Linked DNA regions of Alligator mississippiensis. The protein of the gene in region 2 purifies or fractionates together with the protein of the main gene of each other region. This does not show direct contact. Links are inferred from orthologs where the notes say so. Each region holds a gene or a part of one and is shown on either strand. Other genes may lie near its edges.

Evidence for each region.
Region 1: the proteins of CNOT6 (region 2) and TNKS1BP1 purify together in Homo sapiens (affinity purification with mass spectrometry; 3 studies listed by BioGRID and IntAct, with this or other methods). This does not show direct contact. The link is inferred for Alligator mississippiensis from reciprocal best matches to the Homo sapiens genes CNOT6 and TNKS1BP1.

What each region holds. Positions count from the first base shown.
Region 1 is NC_081825.1:172,866,744-172,882,071, reverse strand, and holds the start of TNKS1BP1 (182 kDa tankyrase-1-binding protein), read right to left. Parts: upstream 7,221-15,328; 5' UTR 7,117-7,220; intron 2,496-7,116; exon of another isoform or gene 2,334-2,495; intron 1,778-2,333; 5' UTR 1,768-1,777; coding exon 1,626-1,767; intron 1,084-1,625; coding exon 267-1,083; intron 1-266. Other genes in the region: FACT complex subunit SSRP1, read right to left, coding at 9,699-9,767, 9,882-10,062, 10,324-10,415, 10,681-10,851, 11,520-11,643, 12,696-12,741, 13,057-13,195, 13,844-13,916 and 1 more.
Region 2 is NC_081832.1:73,959,763-73,974,994, reverse strand, and holds the start of CNOT6 (CCR4-NOT transcription complex subunit 6), read right to left. Parts: upstream 8,254-15,232; 5' UTR 8,133-8,253; intron 4,159-8,132; exon of another isoform or gene 4,051-4,158; intron 2,056-4,050; exon of another isoform or gene 1,945-2,055; intron 1-1,944. UniProt on the Homo sapiens protein: Poly(A) nuclease with 3'-5' RNase activity.

The DNA.
Region 1 (15,328 bases), on a different chromosome or scaffold from region 2:
CCTGTGCAGCTGCAGGTGCCAGCCAATGAGTGCTGTTTTACCCAGGGCATAAACAGGAGACTATAATCCCCTTCCTTGAGTTCTGTCCGATTCCCCTCAGAGGAGACCTGCCTCAGCCCCACCACCAAGTTTCTACCTGTTTCCAGTTACTCACAATTCAATGCAAAGTTACTTTCATACCAACCCATGCAAGAACAGGCAATGTAACCCTGGAAAGCTAGCAACAGTCCTCTGCCCCCTACCACCCAGGGCCACCTGCCCCTCACCTTGTCGTAGGCACGGTGTCAGAGTCGCTCTCTGCTGCTCCACCTGGGGGCTCGAGCAAGTGCTGTCCATTAGAACTTGGGCATGGGCAGGAGGAAGAGGGAAGGGAGCCCAACTCATTCCTGGGAGGCTCTTTGCTCTCCAGAGCTTCAGGAGGCAGGAAGTCCCTGGAAGCTTCAAAAATGAAGGTGGTGTCACTCTCGCCCACCTCCTCACTGCTGGCACGTCTCCAAAAGGCAGTGAAGCCCTTAGGTGTGAAGTAGGAGCCACTGTCAGAGCTGAAAGAACGCAGGGCCCAAGCCCTGTCAGGGCTGAGCGGCCCCTCCTTACGAGGTTGGTCCATCTTGGCTAGGATCTCCTCCACTGTGGTGCCAGGGAAGCGCTCTGGCTTGGTTGCCACTGGCACTGGTTTCACCTTGAAGGGAGAGGTCATTTTGCGGGTCCCCAGGAGTCCCACAGCCTGCGGCATCACGGGAGAAGACCTTCCTTCCTCCCTTGGTACGCAAGGCAAATCTTCAGCTGTGAGCACTGCTGAAGCCAGAACCCCGGCACCAGGTGTGGGAGAAGAACCCCTTTTCCCATTGGTGGCCTCTCCCATGGAGCTCTTGAGGCTGAAAGCGGGGCGCTTAACAACACTGCTGAACCCAGCACTGTATGGCTTAGGACCTGCCAAGCGGTTGATCTTCTCAGCAGAAGGCAGCTCGGTACGGGTGTTTCGCACCCCAAGGGACAGCAATGGGGTACAGGGCTTCACTGGCACAGCTGGCTTGGGCAGCATGCGGGGTTTAGGCCTGACCGGAGGTTTTGGGCGAGTGTCACCTGCATGGAGAGAAGGGGTGGGAGTGTGCCTCAGAGCCAAACCTCACGGAAGAGGCAATGACAGCCTCCCCCGCCACAGGAGAGTGGTCTAGCACCATGACCGTGGGCTGCAAGGGAGGAGCCCTGTCCAGGGCCTGTGCTCAGTGTCAAAGGGGGTTCTGTGAAGGCAGTACCAGAGTGAGAACTCAAACCTGTCTCCTAGATGGACCTCAAAATAGTGGAAGTGATCAAGGTCTCAGCCCCATGATCCTGCTTCCCACCCTCACGCAGAATAAGAGACAACGCCCCTTAGAGGGAAGAAGCCCCATATCCCACTCCCCATTACCTAAACTAGCAAAGGCCCCCAGGCTCAAGGTAGATCAGAGCTAGCACCCCACACCCCATTTCCTAATATCCTTCCCTGGTGTCACCTGAACTGTGACACTTCCTGCCCCACCTTTTCCCCACCTCTCGCTCCAGGGAAATATTAGGAACTCTGCCACCCCTCCCTCCAAGCCCAAACATCCCACCTCCACTCAGCTCCTCTTCCCCAGAGCACAGACCTGACTCAGGGCCACCAGACAGCTGCCCAGCCCCATCATCCCTACTGCCATTGGAGGGGGTGCAGGGAAATGGAGGGTGCAGGGGCTGAGGCTGGAAGGCCATGGTGGAAGCTGGAATTGAGTCTTGATGGATGCAGTGCATGCGTCAGCCCCTATAGAGAGGAGAGGGATGTTACAGGATGACGAGACAGGAAAGGAACAGGTAGTGCCTCCCTACAGGACATGCACTCCCTACAGTGCCTCCCTACAGGATTTCCCAGCAGACCCCTCAGAATTTGGTCCCCTCACACCTAGCTGGTCAGTTCCCCCCCAGCTCCTCCTGAAAAGACCCCTTTCCAGAGCTGCACCCTGCAGCCCCATCTTTGTATCAACCCTGCCCCCAGTTCACCTTGCCCCACAGCAAGGGAAGCAGCTGAGACCCAGCTGGACGGCATGGGTTCTGCCTCTTACCATCAGAGCCAGCTCCCCTCAGCTCCAACACCACATAGCCCTATCTGCACCCCAACCTTCCAGGACCCCAAGTCCATGCACAACTCACAACTGCCCTATGCACAGTGCCAGCCCCCCAGTTCCTCCCCTCCCCTCCTCCATACACTGTGCTAACACGCACGCACTATGCCCAACTTCCCCAGACTCTTTCCCTTCCGGTACCAGATGCCACCCCTTTTGATCCCACCATTGCATGCCTTCCTTCCCCATGTGGCTCACCTTCCCTGCAGCTGCCTCATCTCTGAGCTTGGACAGCACAGCAATGTCAGAGGCCCTGAGCAGGACAGGCACAGAAAAGGAGCGGGAGCTGGAGCAGGGAGGGAGGGAGGGAGCTGGAGCAGGGAGAGAGCTGGTGTCTCGCACAAGCTCCTGTGACTCACGCTGCAGGGACGGGAAAAACCCGCTCGGCTTAGCTTTGCAAGCCCAGCGGGCCTGTGCCTTGTCTGGCCCTGCCCTCTCCTCCCTTCCCCCTCCCCCAACCTTCCTCCCTTTCCACACCCTCTTTTACCCCATTCCCCCTGCCTTCCCCTCCCTCCGCCTTGCTGCACTCCCCGTTCTGCCCCTCCACGCTCCTCCCTTTGCTGCCCCTTCTCCACCACACTGCCTCCTGTTGCCCTGCCCCTCCATCCTCCCCATTCCATGACCCTTCCCCTCCCCGCCTGCCTCACTCCTTTCTTTGCCCGCCCTTCCGTTCTGCCCCCTCCTCCTGCCCCACTCCTCCCTTCCATACCCTTTCCCCCTCCTGTGCTGCCCTTCCCTTCCATGCCCCCTCCCTTCCTCTCTCCTCCTCCCCTGCCCCACTTTCTCCCCCACCAACCCCTTCTCTTGCCTGTCACTCTCTCCCTTGCCTGCCCCTGCAGAGCTATGGGAACGGTCCCCCCCCACCCAGTCTCCAGGGAACTGACATCACGGCTGCACAGTCCAAACCCGGATAAACAGAGCTGGGGAGGGCACATCTGGAAGACATCCCCCCCAATCCCACACTCCCCCCCAGCTCTTCCATTTCCCAATCACTTGGCGCAGTGCTGGAATTCAATGAGGTAAAGCCAGGGCCTGGTCCCGTTGCTGTGGCAACACCCTCCCACTAGATTTCGGGAGAGGGCCAGATCGTGGCCAAGCAGAGAGCGTGTCCTAGCACAGCCAAGACTGGACACCATCTCGGAGTCTCCCCTGACCCCAGGCTCAGCCCACCCCCCTCCTCCTGCACAGCTACTAGGGCATGACCACTCCCAGGCCAGCAAAGTGCCAAGGCAGGGGCCAAGAAAGCAACTGCATAAAGCATGGGGCAGGCTGTAGGGAATTGAGCCATGAGCAGGACCCAATGACCCCCTTCTATCTTACCCCCCCCACCTTGTGCCCTACACCTCCTACCCCACACACTGCCCCAATCACTGTTCCCCCCCTTTCCCCGATGCACACCCCCTATCCCAATATGTAGACACTCCTTCTACACTGCATCCCCTCCCTAGACCCCAATTTGTCCCCCAGTGGTGCTGATACCCCAACTCTCCATCCATACTATGACCCCTCCATAAACCCCAACACAGCCCTGCCTGTAGTGCCAAAAGCCACTGAATATCCAACCACACTGTGCCCCCTCCTGACACTGACTCACCTCAAAACTGCACCAGTATCTGTCCTTCCCTCTGCACTGGGTCCCCTCCCCATAACCCAATTCATCTGTCCCACGGGTGCCAACATCCTTACCTTCCACCCACGCTTCACCCCCCCCCTGCCCCCCCCTCCCCATAATGTCCATATCCCTTCTTGCTCCACAAGTTCAGAACTTATATTCTCAGGCTTTCCTCCAATAACTCCTCCTGCTTTTCCCCACCACTGAGAAAGCATTGGCTGGGCACTGCCCAGTCTCCCTCTTCTGGCATCACCTGGGCTTCTGACTTAGTCACCCCCAGTGACGTGCAAAGCTGTAGTACAATCTCACAGATGAGTGAGTGAGTCTCAGTCATTCTACAGACTATGGACCATCAGACTACTCTGAGCCAGGACCAGGGTCCAAATATGGCCTCTCCTAAAGCCTGCCGAGGGGTGCATTGTCCAATAAAGGCATTCCTGGAAGGAGTCTGTCCTTCCTAAACCTTACCCCCTCTCCACTGGGGGAACCCCACACATGCCCCTGAACTCACCCTGCCAGCCCCCATCAGGAAAGCATGCCCGAGTATTTGTCCCACAGAGCATCTCTCCAGCCATGTCCCCAGGCACTCTCTCTCAGCCAAGTGCTAGATGCAGCCAAGTGCGGCACAGCACCATTCAATTAGAGCACATTCTGTCCCCAGGTGCAGAACCAAGTGGGAAGAGAATTAGGCAAGATGAAAGACCTGCCAGATGGCCCCAGAGATAGCAGAGAGGGAGAGGGGGTCACAATGGGGGGCATCCTGAGAAGGCAGATCAAGGGGGACAAGTGGAGAAGAGCTGATTTATGTTTCCTGGGCTGGGCAGTCCCTGGAAAAGGGGCTCAAGGCAGGAAAGGCTGAGCTGAAGGGAAGCCAGGCAGCATTTTCTACCCAGGTGGGAACATAGAGAGTGGATCCAGACCTCTGAAGAGAGAGGGGAACCAGGAACTCAGAAGAGGGGGAATATAAGGGGCAGGGGCAGAGCACATCTCCTAGCAAAGGGCTCTAGGAAGAGGGGGACAGATCAGGCCAAAAGATACCTTGACAGGAGAGAAGGCCGTGGGCGTAAGAGAGGCTCTTGGTGGGGGACAGTCATCCTTCTCATGAGTTCATTCAGGCCAGGCCCATGCTACAGGTGTTGGCCCAGGGGCATCAAGAGCCATAGTATTAGCCAAAGCCTGTTTTCACTAGCACAGCTGGTTTTGATGGAACAAGGATTGTTACATCAGTACAAAACACCACTTTACTAGGCTGTCCACGTCCACACTAAGAACACAGACAGCACAGCAAAGCCCACTAGCATCCCTGTAGCAGCAGGGTGCTCCTGGTACAGACACAGGCCTGGTCTATGCTGGAAAAAGCTTTGCTGTCAGCAACCTCCTTCCTATCTACAAAAGATCACTTCTGCCAGAAGAGTTTATACCATCCCCAAAGGGATGCAGTCTCCCAAAAGACCAAGCCAGCATGCCTGTGTCTATGCTACAAGGATGTATTTGGTAGCTGTGCTGGTCTGAGACAAAAAGAAATGCAAAACTTTGCAAGTTTATTTTCTACCTATGGGGACTTTTACCATCTTCCCTCAGCTTGAAAAAGGGTACATGTGCCCAAATGCTTGCAAAAAAAGATAATTTTTTTGCAATGTCTTAGTCTTATAAAAGGTATCATCTCTGAACCAAGAGTTCTAGAGTTTTTAATTTCTTTGCGTCTATGCTAGACATTTCAGTTGCCTAGCTGTATTGGTCAGGGACCACAACTCTTCACCTTCTGACCAACAGAGCTATAACCAGCAGCAGACTACAGCACAGGCCTGACTCTACCACATGCCTGTTGCTACCATCAGCGCTCAGGTCACCCTGAGAAGTGGGCATAAGGGAACCAAGGCGAAATGAGAAGAAAGCCCCAGCTATCTCCAGGGTCGAGAGCAGGGGACTCCCAGCAGAGGACGAATAGCGTGTAGCATCAGACCAGGAATATTAGAGCAAGAACCCTCAGATACAATGACTAGGAGCCAAAAGTTCACCTGTAGTAGAAGGGCAAAGGCAAAGAGATGGAGCCTTCTGCTCCTGCCCCAGAAAGGAACAGCTCACTAGCAGCTTGGTGGAAGGTAGTTGGGAGCCACAATCAAAAGGAAACTGAGTGAAACCAGCTCTAGGGACTGAGAGACCGAGTGGGGCAAGCCCAAGCATCAAGGCTTAGTGGTGCCATCACTACAGCAGCAATGCCAACTCTCACAAAACAGTTGTGAGATTCCCGATTTCCAAATCAAATTAACGCTAACTCATGATCTCAGGATATAACCCTCAAATCACAGGACTTTTCTACTGGCGCATAGAGTGCACCCAGCTGGTAAGTTTGTGGAGGGGAAAGGAAGTGGGGGCAGATCGAGGCCCCTATGGTGAGGGAGGGAGTGGGGTAGGAGCTGGGGTTAATGGGGCGCACTGGCCGCGCAGCATGTCCCCTGACAACAGGAAACATACTGGCACTGTGTGGCTGAGCTCCTGGGGCAAAGGCACCAAGGCACAGAGCTCTGAGCCTGCAGCCTCTCTCTGCCTCGTGGGGGGCACATGAACTCCATGCCTCCCCGGGGGTGTGCACAGCTGTGGGTAGCTGCCCCCCACCCCTGGATGACCTGCCCTGGCTCTGGGGCCACATTTATCCCAGCCCCTGCCTCACTCCTTCTCTCACTACAGGGGCCAGATCAAAGCCCCTTCCCCTCCACTTACCAGCTGGGTGCTGTCCCTCTGTGTGTCCGTGTGTGTGTGTGTCTGTGTCCGTGTGTGTGTCCCTCACTCCCAAGCCACAGCCCCCCCAGCCTTGCTGCTGCCCCTCACTCCTGACCCACAGTACCCCACATCCTGCTAGTACAGGCAGGGCCCCCCACCCTCATCCCCCAGCTCCTTCGTAAACAACCCCTGACACACGCACACACTTCAAAAATAGCATCGCATGATTTACATGCCAATCTCTTGATTTTTTTTTTAAGTGTTTGTCTCATGACTTGGCATGGTGGGGTTGCAACGCAGCTACAAGGAGCCAAGCCCCGGAGGCAGGAACAGGAACATTCCTCCGCCTCCCCAGCCCCAGAAAACCTGGCAAGGGGCGCGCTGTGTGCACTGCACCGCACCGCACCGCAGCGCCCTCCCGCCCGCCTTGGCACCAGCCTGTGCCCCAAGGGCCCAGGGGCGCGCGGATCACACCCGGGGCGGCCCCGCCCCGGCCCGGGCCTGGGGCCCGCACCCGCCTGCGCGCGCAGCCGCACGCGTAGGCCCCCCCCCGCGCCGCCCCCGGCCTCAGCCCCGCGGCACCCCGCCGCCCCGGCCAGCCGGCCGGGCGGGCGGGCACGCACGGGGTCCCGCACCCCCGCCGCTCACCCGCTAAGCTCCGCGCCGCACCGCCCGCGTCCTCCACCCTGCATATTCATGAGCCCCGCCCGCCCCTGCTGCATATGCATGAGGCGCGCGGCTGCCGCCCGTAGCCCCGCCCCGCTCACGTGTCGCCAACATGTCATGGCGGGCCGGCTGCGCAAGCCGCGGGAGGGGGGCGGGGCTCCGCTGTGCCATTGAGGGCGGCTAGAGCGGCCCCGCGGCTGCCCCAGGTCCAGGCGCCTGCAGCCCCCCCCGGCGGGGGGCTCCGACCATGCAGGAGCTAGGGCTGTAGCTCCGTCGTGCCCAGGGGCGCTCCTCGCGTGTCGCCCCCCCGCGCCCAGGGCCCGTCCCGCACAGCTTGAGCAGCTAAACCTGGTGCGGCACGCTTTAACCAGTGCGTTAGGAATTTTAAACCCAAAATTTACACCCCGGCTTCTCAACCCCTGCCTGGGAGACAGCCTCCCTTCAACTTACTTAGGGATGACCCTACCTCGAGGGCAGGACGGGACTAGATGGCCCTTGCAGCCCGCCTTCCCTGGGGCCCCCTCTGGAGGGCAAGCAGGATCGTGGTGCTGGAGCTCTAAAGCTAGTTCAGGTGAAGCCCCTCCACTCTTGCACCCCTCCACACAATCACCCCCGCCGTCCACAGCTCTCCCTGTCCTGCTCCCCAAAGCCTGCCCGAGCTGCAGCGACAAACAACGGAAGCTGGGGCAAGCACTTCTCAGTACACTGGATGCAAAACCTTCTCTTCAACATGCCCCCTCTCCCAACAGCCACCCACTATCACACCAGTGTTGAGCAGCCCTCCCCACAACTTCTGTATGTTACCCAACACCACCCTGTACTCCTTCCTTCTGCACCCAGAAAGGAGGCAGCACCCCCTGCAAAGTGAGGGAGAGCCCCCAGTGCTTTATCTGGCTCACAGGACCAGTATAAAGACAGGTGCATGCTGCCTGGATGGAGGAGTTGCTTTAGCTGCCATTAGCGCATCTCCTTCCCAATTAACTGCTGGCAACTGGGAGGTTCCAGTAAATAACCTCCAGAAAACTAAGCTGATGGAAATGGGAGCCTAGGGAATTTCATAAGCAGGGCATCCTCCATCTGCACAAATATTAACCTCCGGCTGGCTGGCTCGGAAGGGCCCCAGGCTGCCTAGCACATTCCACCTCCCCTCCCCCTCACCAGGCACAGCTCTCTTCCCCCTCTCCAAGAGCTCCAAAGACAGTTCTCAGCAAGACAGCTCAGCACTGATTCAATTAAAGAAGACAGAGAAGCAGCTCTGCGTCACAGGTGATGGGAAATGGAGCCGGAAGGTCTCCTGTAGCTCCTCTAATGGAGTACTGAGGTCCGGTAATAGGCACTAATCTGATCAGGACGCATTCCCCAGGTCAGATTAGCACGCCTTGGCAGGAACGTAGTGGGGAGAGAGCTGTAATGGAAGTAGACCCATCCATCTGCTGATCCACTTTACAGAGCTTCTCCCCCTCCTCTCCTGGCTGTTACTGATTAAGAGGATAAGAGCTACAGGCCCAAAGGTGGAGTAGAAAATGACACTAAATCGCCGGGAGATGGGGAAGGGCAGAAATGGCAAGATGTAGCCTCCTCCTTATGCCTCCTGCATGGTAGGGCAGAGCTGAGCTCCTGATTCCACCTGTCTGCAGCAGGGGTGGCTGATTTAAGTCCTCCTTGAAAGTGGCAGTGGTACCAGATGGTAGTCTGCCCCTCCCTCCTGGGAGTTAGGGCAGAGCCCCCAAGCTCATCTTAAGACTGCTCTCTATTGACTGCCTGCCTCCATTAGGCTGCTCTGAAAAGGCTAGATGGCCCTTTAACACAATTAGGGCTGCTGCAGCCACCTGCAGGGGCCAGCAGTCTTAATGGAAGGCAGTAAGATAAGGCTCTGGCCCCAACTCAGCATTGTGGGGAGTGTCACACACGCACCGAAGTGCCAGAGATATGCACCTGGCACAAGCAAACCTGGCAGGTCCCCTATGGGTGAGGGTGTAGATCTCTCTTGGGCAGACACAGCTCTTTGTCTGTGTCCCCACTCATTCCATCCCTCTTTGTTTACCCACAAAGAAGCTCTGTCCAAAGACACTTGATTTTTAATTCAACCCATGTGGCAGCCCAGAAATACAAAAAAAAGAAACAAATCGGAACATAAAAACACTGATAGGGCAAGAAAGCGAGGGGCCTAGGAGCCCTTGCAGCCACCTCCCCAACACTCCCCCACCACACTCTTCACAGCCTATCACACAAAGGACCCCCCAAGTAACCTTCAGTGACATGCAAAGAAAGGAAGTGTGTGCTTCCTAAACCCTCACCAGCAGGAGCTGTGAAGGATGGTAGAGCTCAGGGAGCAGGACACAGCAGGAGGTGGCTGGGGCCAGGGCAGAGGCATCAGGGAAGGAGCAGAGCCAAGGTCTGGTTCTAGCCAATGGTGTAGACCTCAGTATGACACCCACCCCTCCAGTCCTCCCAGTTGGATGACGGGAAACCTGGGTGCAGAGGACTGGGCCTTGCCCTGCTGACCTAAGAAGAGTGCCATTGGCTCAAGGGGCAGGGCTGAAGGGAGGGCAGGGGTAGGTTCTCTAATCTGAGCCAGATGCTGAGTCCTCTGAGCTGGGGGGTGTGCTGGCAATCTCCTCCTCCTCCGAGTCCTGGGGGAATGCATGAAAAGAGAGAGTCAGCCGGTGACACATGCAAGAGCCATGGGTACAGCAGCCAGCTGGAGGATGGGGCCCCCCACCCATGGAAGGCAGTGCTGCACCTACCTCCTTCTTGCTCTCGCCTGAGGAGCTTTCATCACTGGAGACAAACTCCTTGCTCTTGAAGCTTTCAGTGGTGGGCTTGACTGGGGACTTCGAAGATGGAGACTTGGAAGACACCCCCTTCTTCTCCACTTTCCCCTTCACCTGTTTCTCCTGCTTCTTCTTCTTCTTTTTTGACTTCTCCCTAAATACAAGAGAGCCACCGGGCACAGAGGTTACCCACAGCCACCACCTGGGTCCCTGCCTCTGGGATGGTAGAGCCATGGGGGACTTGCTCACCCCACCCTGGGGAAGTGCCCAGGCTCCACCATAATGGGAGGGAACAGAAGTCATTCACCACAATCTCGCTCACCTTCCCCGGGCAGAATGGGTCCTCCAAAAGGAGACATGACTCCTTATCACTCCCACCCTCCCCCCTGGGTTCCCCAAAGGCTGGTGCACTCACGTCCTGGAGCTCTCTGATTTGCCCCCAACACTGTATTCTTTCATGGCCTTCTCATAGTCTCTCTTGGCATCTTCTGCCTTGCGTTCCCACACCTGTTGGAAGTGCAAAGCGTCAGTCACAAACCCACAACAGCAATTCCACCCCTGCCCCCCACCCAACATGCTGCTACTCCTGCACCATACACCATCCCACCCCCAACTGGCAATCTCACAACTCAGCAAGCCACCCAACCATCCTAAGGGCCAGAGGATGGCATCCCCCAAGCACAGACCTACCAACACCATCCTGGCAGCCCCGTCACACCCACACTACCCTAACAATTCAAACATGCTACCACAGCTCCTCCCAGTCCTTTACCTCTTTCTTCTCCCTGGACATGGCCTTCCAGAGCTCCCCAGCCTTCTTGGACAAGTCAGTGATGCTGATGCCAGGGTGGTCTGATTTTATCTTCTCACGACTAGCATTTAGCCAGAGCATGTAGGCAGACATTGGCCGCTTAGGGGCATCGGGGTCCTTGCTTTTCTTACCCTGGGACAGTGGAAGGGGGCAGCAAGGGAGGGAGAAGGGGAAAGAGAGAGAAGCAGCATGAGATCCCCTTAGAGCTCATGGGCTCAGAGGACCTCCTCATAGCAAGGGCTGAGGTCATTCCCCACTCAAGCCCCATTAACAGCATGGCTAGAGTGGGACACCCCCTCCCACAGCCAGGACATCCACTGGGCCCCAGCAACACAAGCCCTTTGGAGGGGAATTATTCCTGATGGAGCTCTACCTGGACAGAAAATTGCTATTAGGGCTCAGATGATACACTGAGCTGACAGAACTGGACTGGCAGGGGTGGAGGGAGGCTACAGAGCTATCCTGGGCTTGGCAAGTGGGCCACAAGCAGAGTCTAAGTCAAAGTCACCCCCTCTACAGACTGGTCACTGCCTTGTGGGAAGTCAGGTCAGGGGGAGCAGGAGTGTCAGACCAGCTTCCCAGAGCTCAGGGTACTCACTGGCCACGTCAGTAGCATGAAGACCTGGGTCTTCACGTGCCAACAGAGGATCCCTGCAGGGCAGGAGCAAGGCAAGCTAGTGAGGAGTGAAGCTGACACTCATCCTCCCAGGACAGAGGATGTTGCTTGGTTGTAGAAAGCACTGGGGACCACTGCATCCAACCCCATCTCGTTTCTCCCCTTGCCTGGGCACAGCCCTCACCTCCAACTGTTTCTTGCGAGGTTTGCGCTCCCTGACAATCTTGGCCTTCTTGGCTGGTTTCTTCTCGTCACGGTCACTGTCACCATCACCACTAGAGGAGCTGGCTGAGGGATGGCTGTTGAATCTGCAGGAGGAAGCATCAGCTGGGAATCAGCCCCATGCCCAGAAGAGTTACTGGGGGCAGGGATCGCAAACTCCAAGAAGGTGCTTTAGCGAGGACAAAAATGAAGGTTATCTGGGGGCATGACATAAAGAGGCCACCTCTGAGACCTTAGCTATAGGGGTAGATGCATTTTACACAGAAGCCAGCCCTTACCCAGAGAGAAGCCAGGGCCTAGCCTGTCCCTGGGAACAAGCTGTAATGTCTTGTTCTGGTTCTGCAATTCTCCAATAGGGCCCTGTACCCTCCCCTCATCTTTCCCCCTTGAGGGACTCCCAAGTGAGTGGTGACCTCAAAGAGCAAGCCCCTTGGCCTGTTTTCCTGCTCTCTCAGGAATCCCTCTGGCCAAGGTACAATCTAAGAACATCAGCTCTCATCAAAAGACCATTCTGAAGCACAGAGCCTGACCAAAGACAAGAGGAAAGACCAAACCTCATACCTCATCGCAGTGCCTGGGATGGGCACAGAACATCAGAGCCCTTGTCCCAGGGTGTTAGGCACCTTCCCCCAAAGAACTTATAGGTAGCTAGCTCAAGAACTTTAGATGCAGACAGAACCTGCTACAGAAATGCAGCCAGATCAGAGGGGAAAGATAGTAGCTGCTTCCTTGCTTGTGGCAGTGCTACAATGGGGGCAGAAAGTGAAGAATCCAACTGGAGCCTCACTAGTTAGCCAAGCCACATTGCTCAGGTGCTGCTTTGCTTAATATTCCCCGCAACTCCTGTGAAAAGCCCCAGCAGAGGGGCAAGCAGGTCAGTCTCACATCTCCTAGAGAAGATGGCACTGACAGCATCCCCTGTCAAGATTCCCTCCTACCACTAAGCCAGGGATCTAGAACTGGTGGGCACTGTGAGGGGTAGGCACCTATGCCAAGCCATAGCACCCTCAACCACCACAGCCAGGCTGGCACTGGTAGCACCACTTAGGCCATGCCAAGAGCGTATCAAGGGACACCCACCTACCCATCCACCCAGAAATAGGAACAGCCCCCCCCCCCCCCCCCAGCCCCTACTCACTCCTCTGCCACATCATCATCCTCCTCCCCAGGGTTGAATGACTCATCTGGAAGAAAAAGCATACAAGTCAGTCTGACTGCTGGGGGTCATGGCAGGCTAGGCAGGAGGTACACAGCAGTCACCCAGCAGTGGAAGCTCTCAGGAGTCTGGGAAAGGACCAAATAAAGGAGACAGGACCTCCCCACTCCGCACCACTGAGACTGAGTCAATAGCCCCAACCACCCACCGCAAGGAGGCAGAATCTCCCAGGTCTCAGCTAGGGAGAGCTCTCAGCTGCAAGGAGAGGAGCACTAGGAAACAGTCAGCACCAATGCTGCTCCTGCCCCACCTATCCCACCCTACCCGAAGGCAGGGCCCTCACCTGTCTCTTCCCCAGACTCATCGCTGCTGTCATTGGCATTCTCCTCACGGATCTTGCCCTCTTCCTTCATCCTCTCCAGGTAGGCGTCATGCTGGTCCTCATCTGAATCAGCATATTCATCGTAGCTCTGCTTGATGTCCTGGAGCACCATGGGGAAGCAGTGAGTGCTGCTCTCCACCCTTTCCCCTTTCCCACCCTCAAAGAGGGGCAGACAGACACTCTCCTCCCCACCCTAGCATGCGGAGAACCTAGAACTACAACTCCCAGCATGCTCCTGGGCACTGCCCTGACCCTAGGAGTCAACTCCACACATGGTGGCCCCAGCACTCTGAGCAGAGGCGGCATGCAGTCCACAGACGAAGGTCAGCACACGTCCAGCGTGCCCCTCGCTCTGGGGACGGTGCGGGGAACACCAGTGGTGTGAACTGGGGTAAGTGAAGCCCACTCAAGGGGAAAAGCAGGGAGCAACAGCCCCCCCCTTCCCTCTTATGGCTCATGCATGGTTATGGGGGTTAGTAGGGATCACCACAGCCATGCACAGGAAACCTGCACCAGGAGGAGGAGGAGGAGGAAGAAGAGGGGAATCGGACGGACCTTTTTCTTCTACAAGGGCAAGGAAAGAAGAGAAAATGAAATAGAGGCCGAATCTGGAGCAGAAGAAAGAAGCCCTGGCCCAGCCCAGCCCCTCCCCCACGCACCCCTGGCCAGTCGGGGAGCAATTCCAGAGCAGTAGTGGGAAAGGGGGGCCAGGCCAACCCTGCCATCCCTGCCCCCACCCTGCCAGTACCTCCTTGTGTCCTCGGTTCTTGATGTTCAGCTTCTTGGCATTGACAAAGTCAAAAAGCTTCCCATACTCTTCCCTGCAGGACCAAACAGCAGTCACAAGAAGGCCAGGCCCAACACTCACCCAACCAACACACCACTGGCAGGCCCACAGTATATGTGGGGCACAGCCAAATACCTGGGGGAGGACGGCACTGTGGCAAGGGAGAGGAGCCCAACCCAGGAGGCATGGAACATCAGTAATGAATCACCCAGGGAGCTGGGGGGGGGGGGGGGGAAGCTGTGAGGGAATGGAAGAGGACGGCTGCTTGTGCACCTATAGGATCTAAGCAATCAGTCAGCATTTGGGTGAAGCACAATCACCTCTCTATGCTCCTGAAGATGTACCACATGCAGTGGTGGGTGAAAGATGAACGGATGCTGGGACAGAGGTAGGGATGCTTACCGTTCTATGCTGCTGAAGGTGTACTGTGTGGCCTGCTTGGTCTCAATCTCAAAGTCAAAGGAGCGGGTGGTAGTGGTCCCACGGGCAAAGTTGACAAAGGAGATCTCGTCAAAGCGGATGTGCACAGGGGGCTTGTGCACGTAGATGAACCCACGCTCCAGTGGGTACAGCAGCCCTGAGCTGGCCTTGTAGGAGCAGGTGATGCACTGGGCCCCTGAGTGCCTGTGCGGGCCAGGGAGGGAACACACAGCTGGGTTATACACATAAAGGGTCCATGTGCAGGCACTTGCCCACAGTCCAGTCATACAGGGGCAATCCCCACTCTCCCCAAACACTAACATGGTCAGCCATATCAAGATAAGAAGCCTCAGCTCTTGGCACTGTGAGGCAGAAGCCCTCCCCTATCATATTTGAAACCCTTCTCACAGGCAGCTCTGTGTCACAATGCGAGAAGAGAGAGTTTAGTACCACTGTCTTGGGCAGAGCAGCTTATGGACCATTGAAATCTCTCCCACGGGGGCAGCTCTGAGTCTTCTCAGAGCAAGAGCAGGCAAAATCTAGCCCGCGGGACCCCCTAAAATATTTAGAAAATATTTATCTGCTCCTGGCTGCCTGTCAAAGACAACAGGCACTGGGCAGGAGAACCCAGGGAGAGCTGGCAGCAGGAGGCAGGAGCCCAGCCACACCCACCCCCAGCTATTTCCCCACTTCCTGCCCTCACCCTGCTCTAGCACCACATGGTGCTCCTGGCTTCATGGCCAGACTGGGGAGCACAGGGCCCCGGTGGTACGGGGATGTGTGCCTGCATGTTGGCAGGGGCAGTGTGCGGGTGCATGCACACGTGTAGGCAGGGGCAGAGTGTGCATGTGGGACTCTCCCTATCCCCACACACCCCCTTCACACTGCCATACACAAACCCCAGCCACCCTCCCTCCACACAGTCCCCCACCCAAGAACCCCATACCCACCCACACCCCATATATCCACACCCCCATGCCCACAGCCCCCAACAAACCTACACCCCCCTCCACAATATACAAGTGT
Region 2 (15,232 bases):
ATATTAAATACAAAAACACTAATTCAAAACAAATTGTAAAGTCTGAAGGAGGAACACCCACACTGATTCCCATAGCAACATTTTTGCTCCCAAATATAGATACTGAAATGTTAAATCCCAAATGTGGAGACATTATTAATGCTGATATAAATACTTTATTGCATAGCCTGAAACTTCAAAGTTTCACTTACTTGCATTATGAAAGAGCAAATAAACCTTAGAGCAGAGCCAGAACCCCATTATGGTAAGCATTGAAGAAAAATATAGGAAGATAGTCCCTGTAAGAAGTTCAGCCTTTGAGCTGTTTATGGAAGAAAAGCATTTCTTCACTTAAACAGATGAGCAAGACTTCCTCAACTGTAAAGGCAGAAGGACCCTCCCCCCACCCTCAAAAAACCCCCAAAACCCCAATGTACTGTATATACAGGCATTTATACATACTAAGGAGGGGAAGGGTGATGCAAATAAGAGCTAAAATGAATCATGAATCACCTAGAAAGTAAAACTCCATTTTCAACTTTCTGAAAAGTTGTAATTGGAGTTCTGCAACCCAGCTACACCACCCATATTTATTTCTTAGCTTGTCAAATAGGGTGATCTGGGTAAGGTTCAGTTATCCTACTGACTCTTTTTTTTTCTTTAATATATGGGCTAGCTCAAAGCAAATTCCATTGTATTTGGGTTAAGTACTAAATAAGTCTTTATTCCTATCCAATTCAGCTAACCATACACTATAACAACCTTTATTTGCAAAGCCCCATTATTCCATTTTACCTTTATGTATTTGTAAGGGTAACTTTTAACTGGTATGGGTCAAAGCGTGAGGTTGCCCCACACAAGTGTTAATTGTTACAACACTGCCTTTCAGTGGGACTAAGGTGCAGAGTAAGATGCAGCTCAGTGTGATTAAGGGTGGCAAAAATAGACTCTTGGTTCTTACTCAGCAGAACTGCCATTGTCCTCAACTGGAGTTTGAAAAAGGAGTTCAGAACTTGGTCTTGTATCAGGATCACCTTCCTAAAGAAAATTCCTTAAGTGTCTAAACATAGGAACTTATAAAATACCCTCATCAGCTGCCACAGACTGATGCAGTATATTTTAATACTGACACCAGCATTTCAGGCTATAGATACAGTCAAGAGGCTCATACCCTCTGCTTCTAACCTTCCACAGCTATCTAAACAAAAAAGCCACATCCTGATGCAAGTGATCTGGGTGTGCATAGATTATTTCTACCCCAAAAGTGGCTCAAAAAGCCTAGCCCATTCCTTGAAAAATGGAACCCTGGAAAAACAAGATATTTAGAACTGCCTGGATTAGACACAAAGTTCAGTCCAAATTAAGGCTTCTGCTAGGCATTATACAAAATTTTAGCACCCCCCCGCCCCCTTGCATAGGACCAAATATATTAAAAAACAAACATTTGAATACTACAAATCCAAATGCATAAGAACAAAGGGATTAGTAAGAATACCACTGAGTACAAACATATGTTTTTATGTATCTTGTACCCAATCTGATCATGGAAAATGGAGCTCAGCTGTCAATTCAATTAAATTTATAGATGTATGAATTAACTCTTCATGGGCCAATATGTACCCATCAGCTACACAAGACCCCAGAACAGTGCATTATCTGAGTAAATGGTAATAGTACTCTTTCATATCTAATCCTTTAATGACTTGACTTAGTGATATAGACTAGTAAAAGTTTGCCAGAAAAAGGTAAGGACATTTTGCATACTCTGTCATCAGCTTTGCAATGTTCCAAATTAAGCCCACATTAGGAAGCACATGACTGAGGAAAGCTGCAAAACAGATAAGACCCAAAGCTAAATTAATCCTATTTCTGTCAAAATATGCACACAAATATTTTCTAACAGAATCCAAACCTAGAAGTTTAAAAACCTTCCCTGTGTGTGTGTGTGTTTCTTCTTCTCCATAGTCAAGACAAAGGGAGGATAAAGAATTCCTTGAACACCCATAAACTGGATTTTAATCAGCGAGTTGGACACACTGCTTTCAGAACTAGACCACAGAACTAAATTGCCACAAGGTAAGGATGTCCCATTTCACCTCCAGCATTTTAAAAAGTCTAGGACCAAGCTATCTTGGACTCAAGTTATTCAACAAGCCAGTGCAGTGTATTGCAACCTGTGGTGCTGGCACTGCTAGAATTCTTGTGTTCATTTCACTGTCATTTCAACTCATAAGTCAGTGGTTTATACCCAGGTTAGCACTATATACAGGCCTACAATTCAGCCATAAAATCAGAAAGGCTTCTTTAGATGCACTGGGCATGTCTACATGAGACACTTAATGCGCCATAGCCTAATAACATTTCCCAGTAGTGTGCCAGGCAAAAACCGTGCTAATACACTACTGTGCAGTAGTCTTAGGCTACTGTGCAGTAAGCATCACTAAAAACCCATGCGCCAGTGCTACTGCCCAGTAACTCTAGTTTACTGCACATTTAGTTAGTACTTCATTAAGCAAGCACTAAGTTAAATGTGCAGTAACTAATGGCAGACAAGATTCCTTGGGTGAATTTGATATCTTTTATTAGACCAACCCAAATAATTGGAGAATAGTTATTAAGCAAGCTTTCGGGTTCAAAAACCCTTTGTCAGGCTAAGGAAGAATGAATTCCATCCAGGAAGAGCACACCAACTGCTGAAGCTTCCTTAGCCCAAAGAAGGGTTTTTGAACCCGAAAGCTTGCTTAATAACTATTCTCCAACTATTTGGGTTGGTCTAATAAAAGATATCAAATTCACCCAAGGAATCTTGTCTGCCTATGTCCTTAGACCAACACGGCTACAACCTACACCCCTGCAGTAACTAATGCGCATTAATGAACATGTAGATGTGCCCATTCAGACCTCACGTAAATATGTTTAGCTTTTGCATTAAGAATTCTACTAGCCAGGCATGTGAAAATTGTCCATTAAGTGCCATATGCACAGTATATCTTATATACGCACACTTTTTCAAATACCTTTTTAATACAGAGTAAAGAAGTCACAGCATCTGAATATTTTACAAAATTAAGTGAAAAAATAATTTCTTGAAACAGAGCATATACTAGGCACTTCTCCAAAAATGAGTGAGATTTCCTTTTAGACAACCAGCATTTATCAACTAGAATGCATTCAGATAAAAGCCACACTAGAAATCGTGCAACACAACCTGTTTTACTGCAGTGCATGGGGAAATGGGGAAGGGGCACTTGATCCCCTGCCAAAGGTGGGTCACAGAATTCCAATTATAAGTCACTTAAGAAGTTACAGTATTCTTAATTAAGACTTCAGGGTGCATTGGCAGTAACAAAACAGAAGTCTAACTTTAGCATCGCTATGTGAAGCTGGCAGCACAGCAGACAAGTACTACCCAGCTCTAAAGTAGTCTTTTTTTTTTTTTTTAATGGGATTTCATTACTTTACACTTTGAACTGTGCACCCACATTGTGCAGCCCAAAAAATATCCTGAGTCCAAGGTATGGATCTAGCCCACCTCTACTTTGAGAGTGCTAGCTGATAAATGGCAATGTGCTCATGCATAATTATTATAAGCATCTTAACTATTAAAGAGTTCATGGATATTCAAAAGAAAACATTAGTTCTATGTTCTGTAAGGATAAGCATGTGAAAATAAATTGATAAATCTGTCTTTAAGCCAACATATTTGAATTATGGGTGACCAATGTCAGAATAACTTGAAAAATGTAAGCCATAATTAAGTTTGAATCTCAAGCTTTCCCAAGAGCTTTCTGTGGCATACAGCTACATATATAACTTTCACAATAAATCTCTTGTTCATAAGCTTTAAAGTGTTGTCAAACAGTTTGGCACAAAGACTGTCCTAAAAATCTTGGGCCTGCTACCAACAGATAGTTCACTGGGTCCTCCTTTTTGTTTTGGTTTAACTTCATACCTTACAATATTTGTAGGTGTTCCTTGCATATGATTAAAAAAAAAAAAAAAAAACACTTGAAAGACTGTCTGCTCATGAGCAGCCATTTAAATGTAACACGTTCATTTCTGATCCTACAGGCAGATCCCTGTACTTCTATGGACCTTCACTGAAGTCGCATCAACTTGCAGGATCCATAATTTAGTCATTTTAAGTTTGGTTTGTTTGTTGTTTTTTTTTTTTTTTTTCCTAAACTAGCCACAGCAGTAAGAGTACCCAGATTCTTTGTAATATGCAACACACTGAGCCTAAACTACAGCATACAGCAAAACTCTAGAAATTATATGGCATGGGGCAGCACAACAGGTGATGGCTTTACACTAATACTACAGCCTCTCTTATTCACAGAATAGGTAGGTTTTACAGCACATGCTATAAACCCCTCTCTACCTGGTGTGCTGCCTCAAATCAACTCTAAGCATTGCTACTTAACTTAATGACACCAGAAAGGAAAGAACTGAGAGACTTTGAGATGCTGCAGTCAGGGGACTGATAGTCAGCCCCCACAGCACAGGCTAGGAGCAGGAAGGTGCTTACATTGTAGGATACTTGGTCTGCAGGAGCATTCCCAGCTCACAAGAAATAAAGGTGTGCAAGAGAAGAGCAACAATACCTAGCCTCACTCTAAAGGAAATCTTAAGCCAGCCAACACGGAGCCTCCCCCCAACAGTGTTGGAATTCTGCAGCAAGGGCCTAGTCTGCAGATCTCCTCAGTGCTCTTTTACAGTACTAGTGCTGTTCAACACTCCAACAATTGCTTTTCCAAAGCCTCAAACTATCTGCAGGTTTTGTCCTTCTCCTCTCCTCAAACACTGCCTGGTTCTTTTTTCTTTTACAGAAGGCAGACTTGACCACTGAATACAGAAAGTCTTCCAGTTCTCAAACATAAAATGTATACCTATCAAGACTGTTTTGGTAACAAACTACCTCCAAGTAAGGTAGCTAACACGCATTGTGTCCAAGCAGTTAACAGGTTTGTTGTTCTTTTGCTTGTTTGTTTTTTCAAGCTTTTTACTTTAGCTGCAAAAATTCATTTGATATGAAAATTGTGTATGTATGATTACAAAAACATGGGCCAACTTTCCATGCCAAGTGGACATTTACAGCCTAATTAAAATGTGGTAACTTGTAAGAAATTCTATGACTTAATACTATGTTAATGATCCTGCACAGCATTTGTACGATTATACCTCCAAGTGGAAGCATAAAAACTGGATTGGAAAGAGAATACAAAACAGCTAGATACAAGATGAACCACTGTTGCTTTGAATCTACTCTGAATAATTTAGTATAAGACTTCCAAAAAGTACATAGCATCTGTCATGTCAATATTTGGCAAGGATTAATAAATTTAGTGTACACACATCCTTGTAGGATGTATAATTATCAATATATAGATTAAAGAACAAGATGTGCTGTTTGACCTAGGGCAGTGCCTATATTAAACTGTCTACATTAGAATTAGGAATGACTATATTAGAATTAGGAAAAAATCCAGATACTGCAGCTCAGTCTGCTGCCTTAAATACATGGATATTCTTATTAGGTGTTAAGCTTTATATTATTTTCTTTTCAACATGACACTATGTAATTGCACTCTTTTTCTGCTCAACAAAAAGTTTATGGAAAGAGCAATAGCTAATATCTGATGTATGCTTAGACACTAACAATAAAAAGGAGCCTTCCTTCACATATTTACTTCTCAAAAGAGGCTAGTAAGAATACTGATTAGGAGCATATGTCTTTATGTATCTTGTGCCTGATCTGATCATGATGTATCTGATATACAACACATACAAAATCCATGGTTTTTGGCTTCATCTGAACCAAGGCTGCCATGTTACAAGCTATTCAATTCTCACACGCATCCAAGATTACATGACAGGATGAAAAACAGAATACTTGTTGACTTCAGCATTCTGCTGGAAGAGAAAACAGAGGAAATGGGCTTTAGGGGAGGGACTATCTTTGTTCTATTAGCACAGAACAACAGGCTTCTGGCCCATGACTGTGGCGTCTAGGCACCAGAGTAATACAAATAATAAATAATGCACTTTGTACTATGCACAAAAAGCCTTGGCCTTCTTAGGTTTGGTCCTATGCTGTGTAGCTGCAATTTTTTCTATATTCTGTTTATTTTATGAGAAGGATGCTTTCTGTTGAAGTGAAAGACTTGTGAATCTTGTTTCAGCCAGCCTTGGAAGTGTTCCTTCCATTTTTCAAGGGGACTTTCTCCAAACAAAACCATGTACCAGGTTACTAAAACAGCTCTTTTCTTGCTCATCTCTGGAATAGCCTGGTCTTAGTGGTTTTTCCTCCACTTCAAACTCAAGGGCACTACATACTTTTTCTTTAATAAAGAGATCTGCATGTGTCAAAAATAGTTACCTGCCCATGCAGTATTATAGTCTCATCTATATTTCAGTTCTTCCTCTAAAATTCAAGCAAAACAACCAGCCTGAACACATCAAGACTGCACCCAGAGTTCAACTTCAATATGCAACACAATAGAGATGCATGGTAGTCTCCTTTGTGCATATGGACAGATCCAAGTGTTTCAGGTGAAAAGTAAATAAAGAGTTAATCCAAATGTGAATGGCTCCATTTCAGTAACAGCGTGAATAAACCCCCACAGAAGGCTTCATTGCTAGCTGCAAACTCCAGAGTCCAGATGAACCAGCAGGAAGAACACAGGGTGGATAATCCTGTAAAATTACCTCAGTGGAAATGTTGATAAATTCCCAATTACGAGACCTGCTCTAGGATGAAAAAAAAATGCAAGATACAATACAATTACCAGTCAATGCTTGCAAACCTTTGCAAGTAACAATTACCACAGGTATTCCTCAATCCCTTGAACTTTGTGCAACTGTCATCTATCACAGTGAAATCCTGTTAAATAAAATAACTCCCTGAAATATGGTAACCAAAGAGCTTCAACCATGATTATAAAGTATATATTTGCCTAAAAGTGACATGAAACTAATTTTCCACCTTTAGATTATTACACAAAAACACCTAAGTTTGCTTTATACATACTTCTCATATTGAAAGAATAATGCATTTCACTTAGGGATTACAATTCCTGTAAACATTATAGGTCAGGTAACCTATAAGAATCAGGTAGATTTTGAAGAAACAGGCTTTTAAGTGCGAGGCCAAACTAGCCTTTAAAAGCTTCAAACCCAGGTAGCTGGATGTACAGCAACTACTGTATCGGGCTTTTAAAAAGGCTTTAAAAAAAAAGCATAAAAACACTAGGTCTCGTACCCAGTTCAGAAGTGCTTACGCACCGCTCATTTGTGCCAGCGTGTGACAAAGGACGGCAATCCCCTCCCTCCCCGCAACTTCTCAATTACGGGAGTAACCAGAGGCACGCGAGCTTCGTCCCCGGACGGAGCAGAGCGCCCGACATCGCTCCCGCTCCCAAAGAGGCGCACGCCGCCCTGCCCGAGACGCACCGAACAAAGTTGTTTTTTTGGCAGGAGCCCAAGGGCCGCACGTCCGGATCCCTCTCTGTTTATCCCTGCATGCGTGTGTCCCCCGGTCTCGGCGGCCCAGTCGCTTACCTGCGTGTCACCGCGAGCCCGCCCCCCCGGCTGCCTGCATTGGACGGCAGCGCCGTCACTCCCGCTCACCACCGCTCTCCCTTTCTATTTCTCACCCAGGCAGAAAGCACTGGCGGTCGCTGCTGTGGCCTTCTCCTCCTCCTCCTCCTCGCCAGCTAGGCCTCGGCTCCAGCAGCCAGCGCCAGTGCAAGCTTCTCCCGGGGCAGGAGACAGTTCCCGTCGAGGCCCCGGTTTTGTTCACTCCTCGCCTCTAGCTCATACATACATACATAAACAGATATATATTTTTAAAAGATGCATCCTTTTTCCAGCTGTCGGGGGGCAATCTGGGAGAGGGACAATTAGCAGACGGATGTCATTTCCCCGGGTCGTGGCGTGTCCCCACAGGCACCCCCCCCCCTGCACCCCGTTTCTCATCAGTGTGCCCCCCCCCTCGCCTAGCTGCCTTCGCCACCGGGTCAGCACCCCGCCATCGCACCCCAATATCCAAGCTCAGGACGGCGATAAATACATCGCCCCTCCCCCCCCTCCATGAGGGCCGCCCCCTCCCACGGGGTGGGGGGCGCGGCCCCCCCCCCGGCTCCCGCCCGTACCTGTGGCTGCAGCATCCCCGTCCCCCCGCCGCCCTCGCTCCGCCGCCTGCCTGGCTCTTTGTTTCCTGCCGCGGGCCGGACGGGAGAGCGGCTCCCCCCAGCCTCCGCCTCCTCCTCCTCACACTCATTGAAAGCAAACAAGCATCATGGCGGCGGCTGCGGGCGCCCCCCGCACCCCCTCCCCCCGCCCCGTGGCCCCGCCCCCGCCCGCGCGCCATTGGCCAGCGCGACCCACGTGACGCCGCCGCGACCGTTGCGGCCGTTGGGCTCCTCAGGCGGTGTCAGGCCTGGTGGCGCGGCGCAGCGAAGTGGAGGTACGTGTCGGGGAGCTGCAGGAGGGAGCGCGCGGGGAGGTCTGCGGGGCTCTGCCGGCGGTGGGGGGCATCGGCCCGGCCAGCCCCACGCTTTGCTCCGAGTCTTACTCGTCCTCCCCCCGGTGCCGGCCTCCCTCGTCCCTGCAGCGCGCTGGTGTGAAGAGGGGTTAGCTATCTCCTTGACTGGGGCACCCTCGCTCCGTCTCCTGTGCGCCGCGGCGGGGAAGGGAGACCTTTCTTTTAATTATTATTATTATTAAAATATATTTCCATAGAGAGAGAGAGAGAAGGCGTCGTGTATGTACATCTTCTGGCTGAAACTTTCCATCATGCCTCTTAAAACCGCAGCGTTTAAATTTGCCCGTGGGAAGGTGGACCTGTCCGTCCATCTGTCTGTCACTTGCTCGCGACCTCGCCCGTGCGTCTGGGGCGGTCGGGATGCGGCGCGCCGTCCGCTTGGGCCCGTTGAGATGTGCCCGGGTCCGGTTAAGGCCGGGGCAGGCAGTTATTTTGGGCGGGGGGCTGCTTACCGATTTTTAGCAAGCCGTCGAGGTCCCGCGTGACGGGCAGCCGGGGGCAGGTCGATATTAATTTTCTATATTTTTTAGGGGCCCGCGGGCTGGATAGACTGGGCTGGCGGGCCGCATCCGGCCCCCGGGATCGCGTTTTGCCCACCCTGCATTAAGGCGAGAGTTAATCGTCGTGTTTAAGCAAGAAGTTCGCAGATGTTCTGTTCTCCTTCATTACGAGGAGCTCTTCTCAAAAAGAAACGAGCGCTCACTGTCTGTACTCGAGGCTGTCCAACGCCGTTATAAGATCCTGTTTTTAACTCGGCGCGTTGTAACCGTTCGAGCTGACGTGCGTCATGCTGGGCGTCCGTTACAGGCTAAAAATGGGTTTTGATAAGTGTCAGTGCAAACGGTTCAGTCAGGTTAAGGAGGGGGGAAATCGGTCCACACTGAAAAATTCGTACGGCTGTTCTTGCGAAGCTTCAATGCTTTGGTGATTGGAGGCCATGCAAGAGACGTGACATGGAGGGTGCCTTTGGTTACCTTTGCTTTTCCCCTGAGTAAACTCTCAAATTTGGTCTAGGTATAAGCCTGTGAAAACGTGTTTCCAGGTGCGCAGGGGAAACTCGTTTGGCTTCCGAATTCTTCAGCATCTACCATTGGGCGGATCGGAGCCAGATGAAATTCAACACCGAGAAGTGTAAAGTGCTGGATCCACCTGGGGACGAACAGCCCCCCAACACACCGGCAGGCTCGGTGACGCCAAACGACTGAAAGGGAGCTGGGGGTAATAACAGACCATAGTACGAACATGAGCCGTCAGCGCGATGCTGTAGCCAGTAGGGCAGATAATACTCTGGCGTGCATCGATCTATGCATCTCCAGCAAAACCGAGGAAGTGATTTTTCCGCTTTCCGCGGCATTGGCGAGACCGCAGCTGGAGTACTGCGTCCAGTTCTGGGTGCCGCACTTCAACGAGGATGTGGAAAAGCTTGAGAGAGAGACTCCAGAGACGAGCCAGCCATACAATCAGAGGCTTGCAAGGCAAGCCACATGAGGAAAGGCTGAGGGACTTGGGCCTCTTCAGCCTATAAAAGAGAAGGCTAAGAGGGGACCTTGTAGCAGCTTACTGCTACATCAGGGGAGTACGTTGAGGGCTCGGCAAGCAACTGTTCACCAGGGCACCCTTGGGGAGAACCAGGAGTAATGGCCACAAACTCCTGGAAGACTGTTTCAGGCTTAACACTAGGAAAAACTTCTTCACAGTTAGGGTATCCAGACAGTGGAATAAACTCCCTCCAGAGGTGGTGCAATCACCTACCCTGGAAATCTTCAAGAGGAACCTGCACAGTCACCTTGCTGGGGTCACCTGACCCCCAGTTATCTTTCTTACCTAGTACAGGGGGCTGGACCTGATGATCTTGCAAGGTCCCTTCCAGCCCTTAACAATCCATGAATTGGTGAGCAGGCTCCAGCCCTTCACAGCTCCTGTATACGAACTGGATTGCATGAGCACCATCCAGCAAGAGTGTGGGAGCATGCTCTGGCTGAGGCTGCATGGTCTGCAGTCTCCTGCAGATGACTCGTTGGTGCCCAGTCAGCGTGGAGGGAGAGGAGGAGCAGCTTGACTGGAATGCAGAGTAATGAGTGGGGTGGGGAAGGAAAGGGGGAATAAGCAGGAGCAGAGAAGATAAGGACCCTGGAAAGGCTTGTGGGAAACTGGAGGGTGGGGGTGAGCACAAGATCATTTGTAACCACTGTAGTGTATTTTTGTGCACAAACTGGATTGGACCCCCAGAGTCCTTTGCAGTTAAGTAGATGGCTGTGAAACCCACTGGCTGAATGTATGTTTCATCACCCTCTAGTGGCAGGTCCACATAGAGCAGAGGTGGGCAAAATGCAGCCTGCCAGCCAGACCTGACCCACCATCCAGTCCATGGCTACCCAGCAATTGTACCCCACCCAGCCCACATGGTTCACCCCCATTCTCATGCCTAGGAGGGCCCTGGCCCTGGCCAGCTCGCACAACTTCTAGGCAGGGCCAGTGCTGCAGCCACCGGGGGACCTGCTTGGCTTCCCCGGCCTCCAGCAACTTCTCGTATCCCTGCTGCAGCACTTGCACCACGGAACAGGTAGGGAAGCAGCAGTGGGCAGAGGAAAGCTGCAGCTCAGTGGGAGCATGGGGCTGGAGCTGGCAGGAGTGTGGAGCCTGCACCCAGCAGGCAGCAGGAACTTGGGTGGATAGGGTATGGGTGAGGGTGGGAGGGCGTGGGGACCTCTCCAGGTGCCCCCTTCCCATGCCTGCCCCCACTGCTAGCAGTATTAGGTGGCAAGCCCTCGGGGTGCTCATTGTCAAGGGGTGAGGCTACTCTTGCAGCCCTTGACAGCTTGCTAGAACTCATTAAGCGGCCCTCCAGCTGAAATAATTGCCTACCCCTGACCTAGAGGATAACAGCCTTCTGTTGCTTCTGGTTACTTTGTTAGCACAACTGGCAGATACCCGAGTTATGGAACTAGTCCCAACCCTGCTAATGATCCAAGTTAAGGCCTTGTCAATATGATTCTGCATGATTAAAACTTTCATTTTGCTCATTTGCAAATGCTGTGAATTGCATCAAATTATTAAAAACAAACAAACAAAAGTGTGTTCCATTGATTTTTGTGAAGTCAAGTCTCAAGACTTACTGCCAGAATTCAGATTACTTATTTAGGGTTCAGTTGTGTATAGGCTTGGTGGGATTTGATTTTTAATGATAAACCTTGATAAAAGTTGATTTCACTTCTTGCACGCTGATGAAAGAATATTTCCATTGTTAATAATCAAAATTTATAGAAGGGGGACATAAGGAAAATGCTGGCTGATGGTGTGTGAGACAACAGGGTGAGCAGTCCTACAACACTTCTGACTCATTTGGACTGTAACTCCCAGAAACCCCAGGGGACTGGGAGCAAAGGAAGAGGAAGTGACAAAGCAGACAAGGGAGCTACAGGCAAGCCAAGCCAGGACTGATGGTAGCTCTGTTATTCAGCAGAGAACAGTCCTACAGTAATGTTTGTTGTGGTGGGCAGGTAAATCGCACTATAATAATAGTATACTGCCATTAATAAATTGTCTGTTCCCCACATCCCTAATTTCTCATGGTCCTGAAAATTTAAATAGATAAAAATTGAAGCAAATGCTTGAAAATAAACATTGATGCTATCCATCAAAATCATAAAAAAATTCTGCCAAGCCTAGTTGTATATTACATTTTTGTAGTACTCCTACTTCTTAGTGCACAGGATGGAGCTTGCTTTGAGAGTGATTCATGGTTGAATTAGGCCATTGTCTGTAGGAGCATTTAATTGCTGATGCTTTCTAGTACATCTGATACTACAGCATCAAAGCAATTAGTCTAGGGCTTGTCTATACTACGAAGCTCCTGTTGCTTTAGTTACGCTGGGATAGCTATGTCAGCAGCATGCCCCCTCCCCCCAGTGTAGATGTAGCATACACCAACAAAAGGAGGTTTTCTGCTGGTGTAGTTAACCTCCTTCACAATACAAGCTAGCCATCAAATAACACTCTTCTACTGGCAGAGCTACATCCATACCAGAGGTTTTGCAGCTGTGTCAGCTAAGAGGTTTGATTTTTTTTTTTTTTTTCTTTCTTCTTCTTCTTTGTACCAATAGGCTACATAGCTCTACTGACAAATTTGTAGTGTGGGCCTGACCCTAAAAGCACTCATTCTTCCCCACTATAAAGCCACACATGAGGATCAGCAAGAAACTGGTTTCGAATTGCATTAAATATACTGGAGTATTTCTGCGTTGTGTTTTCTGGCTACTAATTATCACCCCAGTCCCCTGCTAGATTTTTTTTTTTTTTTTCCCTCAGGGTTCACTGTCCAGCTCTTCCTAACTCTTCAAAGAGGCAACCATTTTGATAGGCTGAAATCAAGACAATAATATGGAAGCAAAGCTCAGAGCACTAAGAAAGGAGAGCGGGACTGGTTCTTGGCGAGAGTTGGTACATATGTGAGCTCAGTGGGAGAACAGTAGTCATTAAGCTTTTGCATTTGGTGGACTTCAGCTTATAGTTTCACATTTTGGAGATAAAATTGCTGCTTGTTTATTAAATCAGGAATGATATTTGAATGTGCAGTCTTGGCTTTCCATTTTCCAAAGTTTCACAGTTTTAATATCAAATAAAAGCTCCAACTAAATATGTTGAATGGCTCCATAAATGTTTGTGTACTGGCGAACTGTGGCCACACCTATCAAACCTCTTTGGCATGTTTGTTTTTTGGTGTTTCTATGCAGTACTGGCTTCTTGAACCCTTAGAAAATAGTGAAGACCAAATTAAGGCCTAAAGTAAGCAAGCACACTCCTACTAAAGTCACTGCAAGTTAAATTTGCACATGCCAGGGCTTAGCTTGACTGTGTGTGTAGGCCCCATATGTCCACCGACCTGATGCTTTGTGGCCTTGTTTGTATATTCTGTTGGCTTTCCATTGATATTAAGTGTGTTAATAAGACTGTATTTCAGTTAAGTATTTTTAAGTGATTCTAATATATTATGTTGACTCTGATAGTAATCTAAGATGGATATTCAGCCCCAGTACTGCAGAAGTACTTTAGGCACAAACTCTTGAACAGCACCTTTACTTCATAGGGGAGATGCTGTTAAGAGTAAAAAGCCTTGGGCAGCACTAAGCGAAGAAGGAACTGAGACTGATGCTCAGGCTGGGAAGCAAATTGTACAGTAAGGAAATAGGTTTATGAACCATGCTATTTGCACCTGCAGTTTAGCAAATGGGTATTTTATCTTTAATAACACCTTTTGCAGCCCCATTTGGCTAAATATAACCCTAGAGTGTGGAAAAACTGAAATATTTGTTAAGATTCATATTAAGCATTGAATCATTTGGATAACTTTGTATAGCTTTGCATTCACCCAGCTACTGCTTTTATTTGGCAGCTCAAAATCACTTAAAGTTTGGTTAGATTGTCATTACAGAATCTTGCCATATGTTGCTAAAGACCTGGAATTTGCACAGTGCTGTTAACAGTCACAGAGGTTTTATCACTTTATTTTTTTTAAATATAACATACAGAGTAATGGATGGGGGCACTTTTAAAAACCCAAATAAAGTTTTGTTGCTTTATCACTTTCTTAGTTAAGTACCCTCAGGCAAGACACCTAACCAATCTTAGCTGCATTCTTCTAACCTTTTAAAATGCTTCAACACAGAGTGCTTATATAAGTGCTAAATATTACTAAGTTTGTCTGGCCGTGATAATTTTCCAAATAGAATGTGGAATGAAAAGACTTTTAACATCACAAGGGGGGAGTTTTAACAACATGCCATGGTACCTGTTCAGAGACGTCTTTTCTATCTCTCGTCTTTGTGTCCATATTTGCACTCTTTTTTGATCCGCTATAATGCTAATCTCTATTCACTCTCTCATTCAGTGCTTTCCTTTAATAATAGGAAAAATACTAGCAACCTGATCCCATCTGTCTCTACCGTATAACATTTTCCCCTTAGGTGACTCAGGATGTATGATCTTGATGTATTTCATATAACGGATGTATGATCTTGATGTATTTCATATAACGGCTAGGAAGTTCCAGTGTGCAAAAGGACCAAGATGACAAACTTCTTATCAATGGGTAAATTCCTTCTACTGGAGGATTTACTTGGGGACGGTAAAAAGCATGTATTTTTTCTTAATGAGAGAGCCACCACAATTCTATTTAACATCCTGTCTCCAGAGTAATTCTCCATTGTGAAAGCTTCCCAGCCCTTAATGTCATTGGCTTCTTCAAATTGTTAAAGCTTTTTTTTCTAAACCAAAAACATTTGGGGATTTAAACACGTTGAAATATCTCAGGCTGCGTTCCTGTTACATCTGAAACTAAGCAGGACTGGGCCAGGCTGGTACTTGAATGAGAGCTCTCCAAGGAAACCTTTATGCTGGGGAAATGATGTTGGTGATTTAGGGGGTGATGCTTTTCCTCTCGCTGACCACTGAAATCCTGGAATGCTATGCTGCAAGAGACCCTGTCTTTGAGGAAATGTGCGTGCGTTAAACCAGGTGTACTCCGCTAGTTCTCACTTGGGGTCTGATCTGATTCCCAGCAAAGTCAAAGAAGCTTCTCTCTGCTTAAATTTCTCCCTGCTGTTTCATTGCTTTTTACAGTTCTCAACTGTCTTGCCGTTTTCTATAGGTTGCCACTGGTCATCCAAGCTGCAGTTGTTTTGGTGGTAAACTAGAATGGTATGTACATAT